2 linked regions of the Oreochromis niloticus genome follow. The protein of the gene in region 1 purifies or fractionates together with the protein of each later gene. This does not show direct contact. Links are inferred from orthologs where the notes say so. Each region holds a gene or a part of one and is shown on either strand. Other genes may lie near its edges. The genes, in order: josd2 and ahcyl2b.

What was found.
Region 2: the proteins of josd2 (region 1) and ahcyl2b purify together in Homo sapiens (affinity purification with mass spectrometry; 3 studies listed by BioGRID and IntAct, counting the BioPlex papers as one, with this or other methods). This does not show direct contact. The link is inferred for Oreochromis niloticus from reciprocal best matches to the Homo sapiens genes JOSD2 and AHCYL2.

The regions. Positions count from the first base shown.
Region 1 is NC_031976.2:22,310,713-22,320,259, forward strand, and holds the start of josd2 (josephin-2), read right to left. Parts: upstream 4,082-9,547; 5' UTR 3,979-4,081; intron 3,908-3,978; exon of another isoform or gene 3,893-3,907; 5' UTR 3,757-3,892; intron 3,551-3,756; 5' UTR 3,544-3,550; coding exon 3,422-3,543; intron 2,614-3,421; coding exon 2,488-2,613; intron 1,518-2,487; coding exon 1,323-1,517; intron 1,057-1,322; coding exon 948-1,056; 3' UTR 1-947. Other genes in the region: ube2s (ubiquitin-conjugating enzyme E2 S), read left to right, coding at 8,808-8,810. UniProt on the Homo sapiens protein: Cleaves 'Lys-63'-linked poly-ubiquitin chains, and with lesser efficiency 'Lys-48'-linked poly-ubiquitin chains (in vitro). May act as a deubiquitinating enzyme.
Region 2 is NC_031981.2:6,674,173-6,684,043, reverse strand, and holds the start of ahcyl2b (adenosylhomocysteinase like 2b), read right to left. Parts: upstream 4,626-9,871; 5' UTR 4,537-4,625; coding exon 4,201-4,536; intron 2,999-4,200; exon of another isoform or gene 2,984-2,998; coding exon of another isoform or gene 2,792-2,983; intron 1-2,791. Other genes in the region: tmem209 (transmembrane protein 209), read right to left, coding at 6,007-6,061, 6,279-6,352, 6,769-6,866, 6,996-7,110, 7,587-7,684, 7,859-7,984, 8,122-8,218, 8,319-8,390 and 4 more. UniProt on the Homo sapiens protein: May regulate the electrogenic sodium/bicarbonate cotransporter SLC4A4 activity and Mg(2+)-sensitivity. On the contrary of its homolog AHCYL1, does not regulate ITPR1 sensitivity to inositol 1,4,5-trisphosphate.

The sequences.
Region 1 (9,547 bases):
GTGGGTGTATGCAGATATTTAACCCTGTGTGGTTTAGAGAAAATCCAGTTTCAAAGTTGCACAGCCAATTCTTGTTTTTAAAAGTCATTAAAGACGTATGCTGTACAATCATTCCACCCTGGGAAAAAAAAAAAGTTCAAAGAATTCATTAAAAGCCCCAAATTATCATAACATTCGTGCCCACGATGAGTGCGTGTAAACTTCTGACCACAACTGTGTAACTAGACTAAAAAGAACGCAAGAAGTCAAGTAAATGGATGAACACATGCAAAGACACTGGTGCAGTCTTCCGGTGCCTCTTTAAGGCAATGCATTCAAGGCTCCTGTGCCTGCATGAGTGCTAACAAAGACAAACAGTGCAAACAACTCAAACGTTGCAGTGCATAGAAGGTTAATAACAAAAGTGAAGGAAGAGATGGCGCTCCTTCACAATCAACACATTCTGGCATAACCATAGCACACGTAGCACATAACAAACTGGATATAAGACAACAGTATCCTAAGTGGCGAATTCATCCTAATAGCATTTTAAGTAATCAAATTTATCCAGTTACCAAAAAACACAGTAACATTTCAGAATCAGGTCACAACAAAAGTGCCATAAACTAGCCCACATTTGCCTCTAACCTGCAACTTTTCAACTCAAAGAGTTAAAACAAAAAGTACAAGAGTACAGTTGACGTTGCAGATAGATGGGTCATACCAGAGCAATGGTTTTCTTTTTTAAGCCGTTACAATCAAGCAGTTCTTCATTTCAGGATTAAACGCCCACCTCTACTTCTCTTTGGAATTTGTGTGTTTGTGTAGATATTAAATGTATTTTAGTGCATTCCCTGAAGATATTTTTTGAACAAGGTGTTTGTTTCTCTCTTTCAAAATGTCTGTCATTTCCCCAGAGGAGGGTTTTTTCCCCCACGCTTTGCAAAGTTATGTTCTGTCCCAAGGCATCACTTCTTGCTGTCAGCGTTCAGCCACGAGCCGTCCTCCTCCACCTCCCGTCGGACAACGAGCAGCATCTCTGCCACGTCCTGAGAAAGCTGTTCAGTGAGAAATGTGCTGAAACAGAAGCGAAGAGAGAGAAGTTTATTAGAACACAAGACAGTGGGGATGTTAATAGAGCACAGTGTCCTAACACAAAACAAACAATGAGGTAACCCCCACTCCCATGTGACCAGTCATATGGTATGACTCACTCAGTGAGTTCAAACAGCACACAAAAGCCAAGTTTAGATCGAAGTCAGAGCAGAATCACTCACACAGAGATTACACCTCTGCTCCTGAGACTCTGGGAAACACTGGACGTATACGTGCACAATTCTTACCGTAGCTCTGCTTCTCCGCCGATGCAGACCGGACTCTTCAGCTTAGAGTCCAGGTTGTAGTACTGTCCGCTAACTTGCCGAACTGCGAGCCAATGCCGCCGTCGGAGCGGGAGGGATACAATCCCCAAAGATACTCGTGATGGGACATTCAGAATAAAGCCTTGGACCTTTGACATACAGAGGTTCTCAACTTCCCTGCAGTTTGAAAGAGGGGAGAAAGAAAGCACTAAATCACCCACTTTGAGATAGTCTTACTTAACCAGTTATTACACTCAGTGCCTCTCAGGGCATTTTTCATTATGAATGACCTCGACCCGGCTAGCCTACTTCTGAAGCACTTACTGAGTCCGTAAATCTATCAAAGCACAAAGTTCATTTTCACATGTAGCTGTGGTTTGGTAAGACTGCCAATATGCTTTTTATGTGTAATCCAACAACGCCTTAGGGTTACATCGCAAGTGGTTTAAAATTAAGATACGTTGTTTTAAGGGGAAAAAAACCCATCTGTGTCTAAAAATAGTCTAAAGGATTCCCTTTTCCTTTTATTACAACAGCCTGGCACTAAGAGCTGATCTCAATATTCTGGATCCCCTTGCAGTATACAGTCCCAGCCACTTTATTAGGTACACCTTGCTAACACTGGGTTGGTTGGTTGTAATCTCGGTTCCCTGAGTGGGCCCCGGTCTAGTGTTCTGATACTGTATCCCATCTGCTTCAAGGTTTGATATGTTGCACATTTAGAAATGGTGTTCTGCCCTGGAGGTGTTTTCTTGGGAAAATCCCAGAAGATCAGCAGTTTCTGAAATAAACAGACCGGTCCATCTGGCACCAACAACCATGCCACGTTTAAAATCACTTTAAATCATCTTTCTTCCCCATTCTGATGCTCAGTTTAAACTTTAGCAGGTCATCCTGACTGTGTTTTGGTGCCTAAATTCCTAAACGAACTGAGTTGCTTCCATGTAATTGTCTAATTGGATATTTTTATTAACAACCAGCTGTATAGGTATGGCTTAAAAAAAGCTAAGGTAGAACAAACAGCCCGGAGACACAGTGTAAATGAAAAAGTAAATTTTAAATTTAACACCGACATTACGAGCGCAGAGGCGGGACCGCTCCACAAAATTACTTTCTCATTTCACAGACTTCAGTGTGACTCACTTACCTGCGTTTGTCCCACCACACCGCAGCCAACTCCCGGCTCTGTAGTGCCGCCATGATGACGTTGACATCATAGTTTCCCGTCCCTAACACTGACCGATGTGGGTTCACGACACACTGTGGAGCCAGCCTGCCACGAGAGAAAAAAGGCAGAGAAATACAGTTTTAAAAAAAACAAATGTTATACTGCATCTTCTTTACAAAACTGTTTAGATTTTTTTTTACTTTCTTGCATATAAATATCATCACAATGCATAACTGTTGTCCCCAAACAACCACAGCGATATGAAAAAGCTGTGTTTTTGTGGGGTTGGGGTTGAGCTGCTCTGCATTCAAATAAATGTTGTTTGTCAAAAGCCACAGAGATCATGACTCATCTGGCCTCATGTTCAATTAAGCTAATGGCTGCTGACGTACAGCGCAGCCTCGCTGAAAAACAATGGTTTCTGCTACACGGACAGCACCACTGCTCTTTCCCCACAAAAACTTAATGTTAAATTTTCCTAACAGTGAGTGCAAAAAAAAACAACACCCACACACTCCTGATCACATTAAAGCTTTTGGTAAGAATAAATGTTTGGCATTTTTCACTTTTAGATGGAAGACATGATGGCTGAATGAGGGAATTCAGTAATTTCTGCTTGAGTCTTGGAGTTCCCAGTAAAAGCCTTGCTCGGCACTGCCATAACTGAAGCTCAACATGAAAACCAGTCATGTTCAGCATCTCACACACGCCTTAGAAGATAAAAGCAGCTGCTGCATTGCAGAAAAATAGCAGTGTATTCACAGTGTAAACAAATTATGAAGTATTGTCTGGAATGTTGGGGTTATAAACTGGTCAGATCATTGGCAAGTTTAGCAGATGGATCGTTTGAATGCTCTCGCTGGTTTGTGTACAGATTTCCGTACACCGTCACGTCACCCAGAGGCTGCCCTACCTTTTGCAGATATCGTCGGCTGTCTCTTTGGTAAACACCCGCTCCTGGAGCACGTTGTTGAGTGCGTGAATTGCGCACAGCTCCAATCGTTGCTTCTCATGAAACACCTCTCCTTCGCTCATACTAAAGCTTCACAGACAAACGAGAAGTCTCGTTAATTAACGGTCATATTACATCTGCTAGCTAGCAGTTTGTAGCCCATTCAGGCTAGCGGCTGCTCGCTGTAAAAGAAGCTGAAAAAACTGAGTATACTCTGTGTTTATGACTGCTGGCAGTTTGGAAAAACATCCTGATAAACTATTATTAATCAACAATAGCTAAACGAAGCTACCGACCTGCTGATAAAGCGATGCCCCGTTTAAATGGTGGTGGAGCCTGACAGCTACATCCAGAAACCGGAAGCTGAGCCTTTGTTGTTGAGATGGTGTTGGGGGTTTTTTTTGTCGTCCGTATGCGTCCTTCACAGCAGGGCTGGAAACCCCGCCACTTTAACAGTTTAATTATGCTGAATAGAGGAAAGTAATAATAATGACAGGATTAACTCATCTTCAACTCACCAATGGTGTCACACACACACACTTCTTCCCCGCGTCTAATCACTGAGCTGATGTTGAAGCGCCCCCTAGTGACGAGCCTGGTTACTGCTGACTGCGGTGATACTGACTGAAGTTAATGAAGTGAGCTAAGCCTCAACTAAAAACTAAAAGTACATATCCGGACTCGAAAAAACAACAACAACTATATTCTAGGAAAAAGATAACTAAATGAAATTAAGTTGTACAACCACCAAACTGAAATAAACGAAATAAATAAATACATGAAAATATGTAGGAAATGTTGTTTTCAAAGCCTGCCTGACTAAGGCTTTGATGCATTGTATGGTGAGACTTGAGATTTCTACATGACTGCCTTATTCTATTCTGAAATAGTGGACAATGATGTTTGCAGACGACATTGTGATTTGTAGTAAGAACCAGGAGTAGGTTGAAGAGCTGAAGAAAGTCAGTAGAAGTATGACTAAACTAGACTAGAGAGGTGAAAAGGTAAAGTTTCAAGGAGCAGAGGTTGCAACGTTGGATGAGTTTAAATACCTGGGGTCACATCCAAGACAACAAACAGTGCATAAGAGAGGTTAAGAACAGACAGTGGTGGAGATGAGTGTGGGGGGTGATTTGTGACAGAAGGATAGCAGCAAGAGTAAAAAAAAAAAGGCTTACAAGATAGTTGTGACACCTGCTGTCATGTCTGGTTTGGAGACGGTGCTACTGACAAAGAGACAGGAGGCTGAGCTGGAGAGGGAAGGCTCAAATGGTTCGGGGATGTGCTGTGGAAGGATGGTGGATGTATTGGACAAAGGATATTGAATGTGCAGCTGCCAGGCAGGAGGAAAAAAGGAAGTCCACCACGAAGATTCATGGATGTAGGGAAGGAGGACATGCAAAGGGTTGGTGTGTCACAGGAGGATGTTAGGGGCAGGGTGAAATGGAGGCAGATGATCTGATGTGGCGACCCCTAAAGGAAGGAGTCGAAAAATGTATGTATTCTGAAATTATTAGCAAATTATTATTAGCTCTTAATAAAAATTTTCCCTATTATAAAAGAAAGTTAGAACTTAAAACAATTTAAAATGGAAGCAAGCAAATCCATAAAGTGAAAACTGTAAATTTTCAAATTTACATTTTTGCAGAAAAAATGTTAAATCTGTCTATTTTTTATTGAGATAAATGTATTTATTTGCAGTTGTGCAGGAAAAATTTTAATGGTTGGATGGAAGTCCAGTTTAGGAAAATCAATTTTGTTTAATGTGTCTAATAGAATAACAAAATCATTTTTAGTTTTAAACAGATTTTTGAAATATTTTTACAGACTTTATGGCAAGTAATCTAATAGATTTGTTAATTACTGTAACTGTTAGGGTGACAAAATCCTAAGCTTAGTCTTACTGTAGAGGCTAAGCCTACGCTTGAAGCCACTGAGGTACTCAATGACAGGGATGTCACTGGTATGCATGAATATATTTAACTTGATACAGTCCAATAACTCCAGCCTTACTCATCTTGTCCTTTAGATTCTTTATTTCCACAACAAAAAACTCAAAAAGTGACCTTTAGCGGCATACATAAGGTATCAACCCAAATGACTCCTACACTTATTTACATAAACTCCTACTACTGTAAAGGTGACTTGTTATGCTTAAATATTTAAATCTATCTATCTATCTATCTATCTATCTATCTATCTATCTATCTATCTATCTATCTATCTATCTATCTATCTATCTATCTATCTATCTATCTATCTATCTATCTATAAGATAAGATAAGATAACCTTTATTAGTCCCACACGTGGGAAATTTGTTTTGTCACAGCAGGAAGTGGACAGTGCAAAAGTTATGAAGCAAAAATTAGAATAAAATAAAATAAGAATAAATACAGTACACAACTGTACAGAATAGAATAAAATAAAATACTATATACAGTAGAATAAAATAGAATAAAATATACAATAAGATAAAAATAGAATACAAATGCTATATACAACTATCTATCTATCTATCTCATAAAATATGGCAGTGTTTTGGAGTCACTGAATCACCTCTTTAAACTTGATTATAGACAGTGGGACAATTTTGGCAAAAAGGTCAAGATTTGGTCATGATGACCTGTCTGATCGAGCATCAGTATGCGGAAGAAGGGTGATTTAAGTGACTTTGAACATGGCATTGAACATGCATTGGTGGTGTCAGACAGACTGGTCTGAGTATTTCAGAAACTGCTGATCTACTGGGATTTTCCCACACAACCATCTGTAGGGTTACAGAAGATCCAAAAACAGAGAAAATATCTAGTGATCAACAGTTCTCAAATGCTCAAATGTCAGGGGTCAGAGGACAACAGCCAGACTTTTTCGAGCAGATAGGAAAGCAATAGCAACTCAAATAAACCACTTATTCTAACAAAAGCATGCAGAAGAGCATTTCTGAAAGCACAACATTCTTAAAGCTACAGGGCTACCGTTACAGAAGATCATACTGGGTGCCACTCCTGCCAGGTAAGAACAGGAAACTGAGGCTACAATTAATGCAGGCTCACAAAGATTGGACAATCAAATACGGGAAAATGTTGCCCAGAGTCTTTCTGCTATAAACATTAAACACGAAAGTACAAATCCATCCTGCCTTGTCTCAATGGTCAGGGTTACTGCTGGTGTTGTAATAATGTGAGGACATTTTCCTGGCCAATTTTGGGTACCAACTGAGCCTACCTGTGATTATGTCCATCCCCTCATGACCACAGTGTGCATATTTTCTGATGGCTGCTTCCAACAGGATAACACACCATGTCACAAACCTCAAATAATCTCAAACTGGTGTCTTGAATAGGGATGGGTATCGAAAACCGGTTCTTGTTGAGAACCGGTTCCCACTGTTTCAATTCCTTGGAATTGTTTGCCATTTTTGCAAACGATTCCCTTATCGATTCCAGTCGCCCTGAATGACGTCACCACGTTGCGGAGCGTCATTTACCTGGCAGGGCGCCTAAGCGGCTCAAACGCTCAAAAGTTTGATTATACTTTACGAGAACGGATGACAACAGGGCAACTTGCAATACTTGCAAAGTAGATATTTAATTTAAGGGAGGAAACACTACGAATATGCAAAAGCGTTTGCTCACAAAACACGCGATAACCTTAAATGAATGTCATGTTTTTAATTCCGCTCCGGACTCGTGAATCTCAACCCAGCAGCAGCGGTAATGTTTGCACGTCCTCTCCCGTTAATACGGCAGGTAAATAATCAGCTAACAGTGCATATTATGTTAGCGCGATCTGCCTTATTACAAAACCTGCCATTACTGTGCGCTGCATTTAGGCGACCATGATGAGAGAGACAGAGTCTGGCTGGCTCAGATGCTGGCAGTTCTCGCTGCAGTCTACCGGTAGTGTCTCCTTTCAGGCCAGGATAGACGAATGTCACCGAGCAGCCTTTTGTGGTCAAAGGCTTGCACCCATTTGCCACAGCAGATGCCCCCGATTTTCCGTAAGTGAATGTGTTTAATTGTAGGCAGGGACATTACTGGATATTCTTGTGTAATTGCTACAGAATAATTTATGTTAAACTTTGTAAATGTAAAATAATAAAGTAAATATTCTTCTGTAGCAATAACAATTTTTTTTCCTGGGGACCCTGTGACACCCCATTGAAGAGCCGTAGGCTGTGGATCTCTTAAGATCTCACTGTTGGTTTTGTAAGGCCATGTTACTCCTAAATTTCTATCTTGTTCAAAGAGAAGATATAAAACAAAGTTCTAAGCTATTCGACCTTAGTGTTCTCCTTTTTTAAAAAGAATCGATAAGAGAATCGATAAAGAATCGAATCGTTAAACAGAATCGAAAATGGAATCGGAATCGTGAAAATCTTATCAATACCCAGCCCTAGTCTTGAACAAGAAAATTAGTTCACTGTGCTCAAATGGCCTCCACAGCCAGTTTACCTCAGTCTAATAGAGCACCTTTGGGCTGTGGTGGAAAGGCACATTCACATCATGGATGTGCAGCCATGTGCAGCAAATCTGCTTCTATTGTGTGATGCTATCATGTCAATCTGAACCAAAATTTCTGAGGAATGTTTCCAGCACCTTGTTGAATGTCATGAAGACTTAAAATAGTTCTGAAGGCAAAAATGGCTCCAGAGCAGTACTAACAAGGTGTAGGTCACCTAAAAGTGTGTCTGGTGAATAAATGTTAATTGTGTTGTTATTTTTGGTGGTGTATTGCTCAGGCACGTTTCTGTCGTACACGAATACGAAAAAAACTGTGTGTGTAATTTTAGTCAGTTATTGTTAGATTAGAGTTAACTTAATTAACCAACATTAAAGGAAACCTATCATACAACGTAACAAAAGTGATCCCGCTTATCAAGTTAAGTATTTATCTATTGAATAAATTAGGAAGGCTGGTTTAAACAGTGGGCGTTTCTTAATTTTGGTGTTCAATGTAGCTGATGCTGATCTTTCAGTATCGATTAGATTTGAGAGTTTTTTAAATGGACCTATCGCTGGCGTGTATCAGATGTACTTTTCACTCTATGTGACTGATAGGGCTTTTTGTCGTGACGCAGCTCTATCGCTGCATTTCGATTGGTTTGTCTCTTCTGACGTTTCACACCACTATGCCGCTCATTGGTACGTGCTTTAAGGTTCAACTGAGGATCGTATTTTTGTTCCTGTGTCAACGTAGAGAAGAAAAGAAGAACGGCGATCATCAGCCAGCCGGCTAAGTTTTCATCGAATATAGTTTTTCACTCCTCTAGACTCTATTAGAAACGGTTCTTTATATCTGACACCAGCCAGACACCCACCACCCAAGCAGAGCTCCTTTTTGAAGATGGTAAGATCAACCTCTTAGCTAACGGCTAATGGGAGACACTGCTAGCTCTAACCGATTTTAGCTGTCGAGTTTTTTTTATTTTTCGATTTTTATGGGCGGTTGTGTCTATTTGTTAAAAGTTAATGCGTTTATTTAATGTCTTCAGATGTATATTCGTGTAATTAATAAGTACCTTCATACACAATAGAAACTATTACCACTAAACCAAAAGCTTCTTTAACACGAACTCTAATCGAGGCATTTGCTAGGCTAGGTATGCTAACGGTAACATAAAGTTAACATTGCCCGTCGATTGCTTAACTGATATTAATTATCTACTGTTGTGCCTTTAAAGCATACTTCAAGTTGATCAAGTTATAACTCCTCTGACTTCTGTGAGGATGCTTAACGTGGTGCGGGGACCGCTGGCTCGATGATGAAACCGTAGCTCCCCCAGAGGAGCTCCAGCTCATGTTCATTACGTAAATACGTGTTAAAATTAGGAAGATAATGACTAGCAAGCGCGCATTACATAGAAAAGCGTGTGTAAAATGATAGCAGATCCGCAGAGGAAAATGTAGATGGTCTCAGGTGGTACCGATGATAGATTTTTCATCTGCCATATGGCCGATCGACACATTATTAAAATGTGTGAAACGAAATCATCAAAGCCATAGAAAAAAATTATGCTTTAGTGTGTAATTAGTCGATACCTACATAATAAACATTTTGATAATGTTAAATTTACTTCACTCACA
Region 2 (9,871 bases), on another chromosome or scaffold:
GCTTCTCCGGTGACCTCTGACAATGCGTTAAAGCTTGCTGGGACCTCACAACTCCTGTGAGCTTTTTAGTCCTGTCATCGAGTTTCCAAATCAGCATTTAAGGGCACTTGTGAAGCTGTCACGTTGTTAGACAGATGTAAAAATGACAGTAGAAATACAGTTCTTTGTGCTGTGTCTGTAGTAGAGACGTGCTAGCCAACAAAAAGATGATTATAGTAATTAATTTGTATTAAATTCGAGACTCAATAGTTTATGTCAAAGTGGAACCATAACAGTTTTCTTTTAAGTAGTCGCCAGCAAAAAGTAAAACTGTATTTATACAGCACCTTTCAAGATGCTCATATTAAACATGCGCAAACTTTCAGATAATGAGGTCAAGGTGTGTTCAAGTGACCACAGGCTTCAGACTGCTCTAAACATTAAGGGTCAGATTGTGTTTCAACAACCGGCTCAGTATGAAGTCAGAGAGATAGCTGTGAGCACATCAGCCCTACCTTCAAACCTTCTGTTTTGGAGGGACAGCCAATCAGAAGAAAGTTGGCAAACTAATGGGCTGCACCATGGCCCAGTATAAGATAAATAAGGATTATTTTGAACTTCGACTCATTCTACTAGAGTCCAAAAAGAATAGAGTTGGCAATGAGCTCAATACAGTCTAGCCAGTATATCAGTGGGGCCCATGTATTGGCTGATATTAGCTCCTTACCGATAGATTGGTACTGGTATTTATAACAGTCAAAATATTAAAATTAAAGTAATAAAGTAGATGTGAGAAAGATGTATGTGTGTGTGTGTGTGTGTGTGTGTGTGTGTGTGTGTGTGTGTGTGTGTGTGTGTGTGTGTGTGTGTGTAGTGCGCCACAAACACAACCAGCAGAGTCAACAGAGCATATTGTAATCCATGACTCATGACAATAAAACTGCATTGTTATGTTAACTTAATAATGACTCATAAATAACACGCACAACAAAATGTTAGGGAAATCTGTTTGTTTTTGTATGTTTAAAAAAAACAAACAAACAAATTGTCCGATATTGGATAGTTAAATAACTAAATCTGTCAGGGTCTACAAGTTTATCTGAAGAGGGGACTTGAATAAATATATTTATTCCTATAATCTATTTGAAGAATACACAAGTAGGGTTAGGACATAATAATTCAACTTCAATCCCTTAGGAAGTGCATGTGATCACCACAATGCAGGCACTCCCCCACACACAGACCAGCTCAGTTGCCGAGGTGACTCACCAATGAGAGGGGCGCAGGGGAAGGACAGTGACACATTCTCCTTTGTAGCTGAGAACAGCCACGGGGAGATGAAGATCAATGTGCTTGCATGAGGATGACCACGCTGAGAAACCACAGAGCAGCCACCTCATATCCTTCACGAGATGACTTGGAACAATCACAAGAGCATGGAAGGAACTAATGAACAAACAGGCTGCACAATCTTTAGCTCAGCCGGCTTCAGCACATAGTACTAGCTCCCTGCTTCATCTCACCATATTGACACCTGTATGAAACTGATCAAAACAATTGTGCCTTTTACAGAGCAAGCTGGTGTAAATATAGTTACAGTTAATGATGAGTGGCATTAGAGTGGAAACTTGTAGCACCATCGACACGTGGCAACAACAACTTAGGCTGATTTTTGACTTTGTGAAACACAACCCCACCTTCAAAATTGTTTTCGTCCTGAGCAGAGCAGCCACAGGTCACTAAGCTTGTTACCAGTGAGCACTACCAGGAACATCAGCTTAGTAGGTGACATAACATTACAACAGAGAGGAATGATCCTGCTGTTCTGTGAAGTCATTTAATAACATCACTATGCATGCTTCCCATAAACCTGTTAGGAAGTGCAATCCCTGCCAAATCAGGCAGGTGACACTACTGACCAAGTACGCAGCTAGAAAAATGTCTGCCTGCCGTATGAGTCTCGCACAGCAAACGCGATAGCAGCTAGGCCCGCTTCTTGAAGTACTCCGCAGCTGGAGCCTTCACCCAGAACTTCCCAGAGGCTGGAGATATTCAAGCCGAGCTGGACGGGTTACAATCACACTCATCACTGACTCAGAAAGCTTACATCTGGGCTCACCTACAACAGCGAGCTGGCCTTTTAATCCCCTCATGTGGTGACATGATAGAGGCAAGGATTAAAAGCCAGCCAGCCATCCAGTCAGTCAGTCAACACCGCTGCCCTGCCTGGCTGCGTACTTGCATCATCGTCCCCAGTGCTTCACTTAGCCTTTACTGCAACTGGGGAAGCACAGTTCAGCAGATGCTCGAGGCCAGTCTGTGGTCATATAAATCTATAATGCAGTACCATTATTCCTGCTATACTTCATCATCTATAAATAGGCTGCAGGCAACCTTCTGTGAATAAACACAAATACTGAAAAACAGTTGATCAGACAAATACAGTTCCAACACACTGCTTAAATTTACATAACAGGCAGACTTCAGCCCTAAAAGTGTTCAGAGTGGCGTTCATCCTCAACTCAAGCTTTCTGGACTCTCTGCATCCCATGAACTTGAAACAAGACAACACACTTGCAATGAAAATTCAAAGACAGACATACATTTTAATCACACAAACTAAGCCATAACAATAGGATATAAAGATCAACATATAATGATCAGATGTTTAATAGAGTGACTGCACTGATATTTGAAGGAAATATTGATAAAGAGTTAACAAGTGTGACTACAATGTTTACTTTCAAAGTAAAAAAGCACTATTTTAAGTAAATTTTCACAACTACTTTTCCCCTTAATCAACAGTCTGTACCTTGCACCTGCATTCAAACTTGGCCTCCCCAGTAGCACAGATGTGGCTGTTGCTTTCCCATAGCTCTGGCTGCGCTTCCCCCTGCAAGCCCGGTGTTTCCGACTGCTCATTCTCTTCTACATGCCGGCTCGCTTTGACAGTCTGAGGTACTTGAAGCCATCTGCTCTGTGCTGCTGTTGGTGTGCACTCCATTCTCTCCCTGTACTACCAAACATTTGGCTAAAAGGTCTTTAAGCTGGGTTTCCTTGGGGTTTGGTTTAATGGGATAGGATCACTGACGTAGTATATGGTGTGGGTGGGGAGTGCATCCCACCCGACTTGTCCTTTCACCGGGTTTCACCCAATTTCGAGGCTTTCTGAAGCCAAAACACACTAAAGTGGCATGTGTATTAGTGCAACAGCTGACCACTACTGATAAAGTGCACTACAGAGATAACAGGATATGCAACTGTTAATAAAGCTCCTGCAATCATTTTCTTATCAAATAAAAAATGTCCTTTCCTTGAACGTTGCCCTTCTTCTGTCCTAAAAAAGACCTTGTAAGGAGCAGAGCGATAAGACAACCACAGCTAAACCGTGCCTAAATCCCACTACGGTATCAATTTTAGGTGTTACAGACTCAAAGAGGTTTGTTTGTTTTTTTTAAACCAGGTCACAGGGGTCACACATCGCTGACTACTGTTACAGCCTAGTTAGACCACACATCTGCATTAACTGCAGAACTGCATAAATTTGACTAAACTAAAACGGCATGTCTGTTTTACAGGCAGTGAACTGTGAATAGTTTTAACATAATAATCTGAGGTCAAGCAAGGGTCATGAAGTGCCACAGAGGGACAACCCAAGTGTCAAAAATCAGAGCTTCTTCAAAAACAAGAAAGGTGTGTGCCACAATTAAACTCTGACTGAAAACACTATATCCGAAAAATGGAAGCAACTGATTTAAGCGAATAACTGCACTTAGTATGGTCTGTGTTTTGCGTTTGTCACGTTGATGTTTAAGATAATGTGACACAGATATACACAAACCTACAAAAGCATGTGGGACCTCATGCTATGAGAGAGCTTTTAAATACCCAATATCAGCACAACTTGTGAGAACAGTTGGATACTGTCGCCCACCTCCGGAGTCCTAAATATTTCACTTAAATGTCAGCCTTCGTGAAAACGGGTATGAGAAAAAGAATAACATTCCTTCCCTTGTGTTATAAGCAGTGAAAAGCATAATTTAAACCGTTAACGGCCACCGCCGATTCAGCTTTGGTGCCAGCTAGCCTGTTAGCATCGTCACACAATGCCAGCTTTCCCAGCAAGCTCGCTCTGCGGCGAGGTCCTTAGTGGTGGTCCAGCAACAGCGAGCATATGCAAAAGCACTTATGTGGAGGGGAGAAAAATGCCGCCTGGCTTACCTTTTTCATGCGAGGAGCCTCGGCAACGGTTCCGTCCCGGTTGACAAACGCCTCCCCGCCGTTCTGCTGCGGGTCCGAACGTTTCATAGACGACGCTTGAGGCATCTTCGCCGGGTTTGGGGTGAGCAAGCCCGTGCCTCCTTCCCCGGCTTTCGCGGAAGGCTCCGCGGTAGGGGACGCGGCAGCCGCGGAACCGGCCTCGTGCGGGTCGTTTCTGGGGAGGTTCTTGCCCTCCGACGTGGGTGTCACCGGGGATTCAGCCGGCAGGTCTTTGCCGGTGGGGACGTCTTTGAGTTCGACCTCTGCCATTTTCGCTGCCACAACCTGGACTGACATCGCTGCAGTTTCTCAAAGTCCTTTTTCCAGCACGGATAGCGAGTCAAGCGGATGTGAGCGGAGGAGCCACGAAGGCCAAATGCATTATGGCTCTTGTAGTTCCACTAAGTAGCTCAATGCCCCACAGGACACCTCTCACACCAGTTATTCGTACATGAATGACTTTTTATTGGACGTCAATACATGCAGCAAAAGAACAGTATCGTTACCTGTTATTATAATACATTTAAAATAGCTAAAAAGAGAGTCCTAATAGAAATTGAGACTACATTTCCCAATAGAGATAGCCGGGTTGTTAAATACACTCTGGGAAATGCAGTTTTTTTTTATAAAAGAGGACGACAATAAACTACATAACAAACGTGAGCTTTGCAGATAATGCGGTTTCAAAAGAAATCTCATAAAATGCACACTTAGATCTTTTTTGTGGAAAATAATCAATTTTCTTTCTGAAAAAAAATAATATTTACAACGTAGTAAATCCACTTATGTCAAAGTAAGCAGGAGCAGGCTGTGCTATTACACTCTGTGTGTAGCGGAGTGCTCATCAACACTCTAGTCAATATACTGCATCACATCATGCGGTGGTACATACATAAGACGGGTACAAGAGGAAGGTCAAATCACAAATAAGGAGCTGCACTGCCACCAAGTGGATGCCTAAGATATATTTTTTTTTTAAATCCCAAGCATATTGCGTACAGTTCAAGGAAATGAGGAAACAAGTGGTTTTTTATTATTAATATTTCAATTTAATTTCCAAGTCTCATGTGACACTTGTAAAACAGCGTTATCGGAAACAAACAAACATGTAGAAGGTGGTATAAAATCTAAGGAAAAAAAAATATTCACAGAAACAGACGTTGGTGACTTGAAGGCTTTTCATCTCTCTATCACATATAGTTTGACTGTTGTACATATATGTGCAGCATTTCAGTAGCTGTACATATATATGTACAACTGCTTTCAGCATAGCTGCACTATCCACTGGTCTTTTTTTCTCCTCCCCAGTAATTCAAGCGCATGCCAGGAATAATCTGATTATTGCATTCTAAACTACAACAGGACGGGGGGGGGGGGAGCGACAAAAGGTTGCTATTTACATTCAAGCTGATGGGTCTGAGCCCTTGCTGTCCACCAGATAAATCTGAGGTATATTATTTACAAGGCTGCCATGCGGGTACATTCTTAAAGTACAAAATCAGAAACCCCAAACACTGTTAAAAAATACAGCTCTTTGTTGTATCATAAGCACTCTGGTGAAAAAGAAACATGTCCCTAAAAATGCAAACGAAAACACAGCAGGCTGTCAATCATGAAAATGTTCAGAGAACATGCATCTACTCTAACTGAAGTCTTGTGTGCTGTGTGTTTTTTGGGGCTTTTTTGCTCATGTGCACCAGAAAGGGGACACACGTGTCCTCAAATCCACTTGGAGCTCCTTGTCACTTAATATTTGAGGATGACGCCTCAGTCCTCAAATATCCACAGGATGTTCACACCTGAGAGGCCCAGATTCACTCTCCTGAGGAGAATATGAGAACAATTTAACCACAGTGCACAAGACAAGGTCAAAGTAGTCACTATAAAAAATAAATAAAAATAAAAGTCAATATTAAATCTGCACTTTAGTGCATCACTTCTATCGGGAAAATGAATCAATATTTCATGATTCTTTCTAATGGCTCTATTCATGTTGGAGATTAAAATCCAACTAGTTTTGAAAAAAGAGAAAAACTCACCCCAGCATCCCTGACTCCTTGGTCTTAATAACATAGAGGAACATGAGGATTGTGTGGAACAGGTTGTTCCTCCCCTGTAACCGAAATCAACATAGGTTCACATCAGCACAATAAAGTGTTACAAACAAGCAAGAAAACCTCAACTGTTACTGAACGATACGCCTGTTACATGCTGGCTCTTTCTCTAGGACGAGGAAGGCCCATGGATTTAATGTAAGTAACAAGAATTATTCTTTTATGAATAAAACATGGGTTTTTGATTTGCAAATAATTTTATTAAGCATCCCAGCATTTGTGATAATGGGGTTAGTATTTTAAGTTATCCTCCATGAAAGAGATTGTAATGTTTCCCTGGGAAAACAGAGGAATATGTAACAACTGAAAAATTATTGGCTACATTGTAGGCAGTGTTTAAATTAACAAATGGCCAACAATTTTACAACTGGTGCATTCCTAAAAAAAAGAGAAGAAAATAAAAAGGAGTGAGAACCTTGGGAAGACTGTAGACATGTCCTTGGTAGATGAGCTGGTAGTGAGGAGGAGTGGTGCTGCTTTGATGAATGCAGAAGAGGTTCTCCTTGGTAACATCTATGAGTTAATACAAAAAGGTTACACAAAAGAAAAAAAAAGCAATGCTGGATTTCAAGGAGGATCAAACAGTGGCCATCTTAAGTCTTTAAGTACTATTCTTTAAATCTTATCTAATGGTGCGCTCACCAGGTTTGTCTGGGGTGTGGCTAAAATGTTGAGAAGTGAAAGTCTTCCCATCGGGGTACTTTGGGTGCGGAGGCAGCCTGGAGTCCAGGTATGTACAAAACACATGCATGAGGATCTGAGAAGACAGACACGTGGTTATTGTGACACAACTGAGCCACAGCGTGTGCAGTAAAAGACCAAGGTTGCTTTGATCTGACGAGTAGAACAATTACGGTAATTATTCCACCCTTTGCTACTGACATTTACTTTTTAGCTCATTCACACCCCGTCCTTGTCCTTTAGAAGCATTAAAAAAAAAAAAAAGTCATTTATATGATGAGAACTCAACACTGGTGCAATTTAAACACATTTTGAGTATACTCACATGTGACATTTATTAAATGCACATAAATAAATAAATAAATAAATACATACATACATACATACATACAAGAGCTAGTATTTTATACTCAAGATATGGAGATCTCTGTTGGTCCTGCTATCCTGATCTGCGTGATGCTCTTGTTGGGTTTGCAATAAACTGCATTTTAAGACTAATTGCTGCTCATTATGTCTGTGTGGATATCGCTGGGTGTGGTTATGTACACTCACAGCACAGTCAGTAGGAAGGTCTGTATCCCATTTCCTGTTCTTCAGGTCACCACCACCGTTCCAGCGAAAGGAGCTCATACAACCGCTGTGAGCCAGCTCTGACACAAAGAAGAAATAAAACACACAGCACATATGCAGTGAAGTCCAATCACAGGTCCACAGTGTTCATTTTTCATGGCTGAACATAACACAATTTATTTAGTTTGATGCAGGTATACAGGACTTTTAAAAAAAAATAAATTAATGCCTATATGCTTTAATATTAAACGCACCCTTTATCCGGTCCACTAGATACTCCTGGTTGGGTGTGATATCCAAGTATTGGACAATAGAGTTCAAAGTAGGGATGGAAGAGGCTTTGGTCACTGCTGCCTGTTTCAGACTGCTTATGCTGGCCTCTGGTGGAGAAAAAAAAATGAAAAAGTAAAGTAGCTGGCATAACAGTGCCTACAGAGTGTCCATTTCAATTGATTTGGAAATGTTTTGAGGCATCTCCTTACTACTCATCAGTCAATAGCAGATTTTAGAAGTTTACCTCCTATCTGGAGCTCTGGGCAGCCCATTCTCCTGAGCAGGCTATTAACCGAATCTATTTCTTTGACCAAGGGGACCAAGATAGTATCACTGATCCACTGCAGACACAAATAAAAAAAATTTTTTAATTCATATCAAATATTTATGGACACCTGGAATTCATTAGATATATAGATAATCAAGTGAAGCCCTACTCACATTTCTAAGCTTGGCTGTCCAGCCATCAATGCGATCCAACACTGGGCGACTGGTTGTGATTCTCGCCCACACCTACGTATCAGAAAGGAGATAGAAAAACATTTCCAAAAGAGACAACTATAGTTTAAAGGAAAAAACAAAACGGCTAATCTTTCAACCGATAGCAGCACAAATACCGACACACAGACCTCCTCTGCAGCCTGTTTGGAGCCCAGGTCCGTCTCGTCCTTGTGGGCAGAAGGCGCCTGAGAGCGGCATGCAGGCTGGTAGAGGAACTTCCTGAGGCTCTGTGCATAATCTCCCACCGAACGGTTGTAGTTCCAAAACGTAGGACTGTGGCTTGGAGACACAGACTCTGGACTTCCTACACAGGGAATGACGCCATCATGACATCAGAAGTGACCTACTATGTTAGAATGGGCGATGCTTATGCTAACCATAGCCAAAGTTTCAAATAATGAGGATTTTCCACTCTTGGATCTGTACAATGTCCAAGAGAGGGGCTATGCTTCAAGGCTGTAGTTCAAAACTTGCTTGTGAGCATAAACCCAACTGCCTAATTGTATTCATTCATTCACGCTTTAAAAAGTGTGAATGAAACCTACAATTCCCTCTGTGATCTACTCTACTTTTATCTCCAATTCAGTTTAGCTACCTACCAAGCTGGCTCCGGTGACTCCTTTCCTCCTCTGTTCGCAGGAACCTCTCCAGACTTTTCAGATCCTCCATGTAGTCCTCCTTGCTTCCAGGGGAGTTAAACACGGAGGGAGGTGTGCGGTAGCGAGCCCTCAAGCTGGAGCCTTCTGCTGACCCAATTGTAGTGGGATAAGGAGTGGAGCCAGAGGGTGGACTGTAGTTCAGCACCTGAAACAAGGAAAATCGTTAATGGAAAGGAAATGGAGTTATAGTCAGTCATATTCAGTTTTCTTTTTTTCTCATGTACTCATGTCACTCCTGGTTAAAAGTACCTTTCCAAAGGACACAGAAGGGGAAAAGGGGCCTCCTGCACTGTTTGTTGGGGATGGGTTGCTGAGTGTGGGGCTATATCCAGGAACACAGCTGGGGGAGAACTTGGGGCTGCTGGAGGCTGTACGAGAGGGACTAAAGCTGAGCACGCTCTGGCCCTGCAGAGGAGATGACTGGGCTGGAGCCGGAGCTTCCTTCTTTTCTGGCTTTTGGGGTGGAGATGCCTGAATACCTGCAAAACAAAAAAACCCCAACTCTGGCTCATATGTTGATCTAAAGATTGGGGGGGGCTTCCTTTCTGCTACTTTATTTGCCACAAAGGGTCTTGAACATAGCAAGAATTGGACACAAGCTGTGGAAAAATATAAACCATAAATTTGCGCCTCACTTGTGTTTCTCAGACCCAGAAGGTGATGCTGCTCAGGGCTTACAGCAATGGTGGATGGAGCCATTGTGTATTTGAAATACTTCCAGAAGTCATAAAGAGCATTGAGGCTAAAAAGGGAGGCAAGCACCAATTCTGTAAAAGAAAAAAACAAAATAAAACACTGTAGCAGAGTGTGAACACGCAGATGGCAAATTAAAAG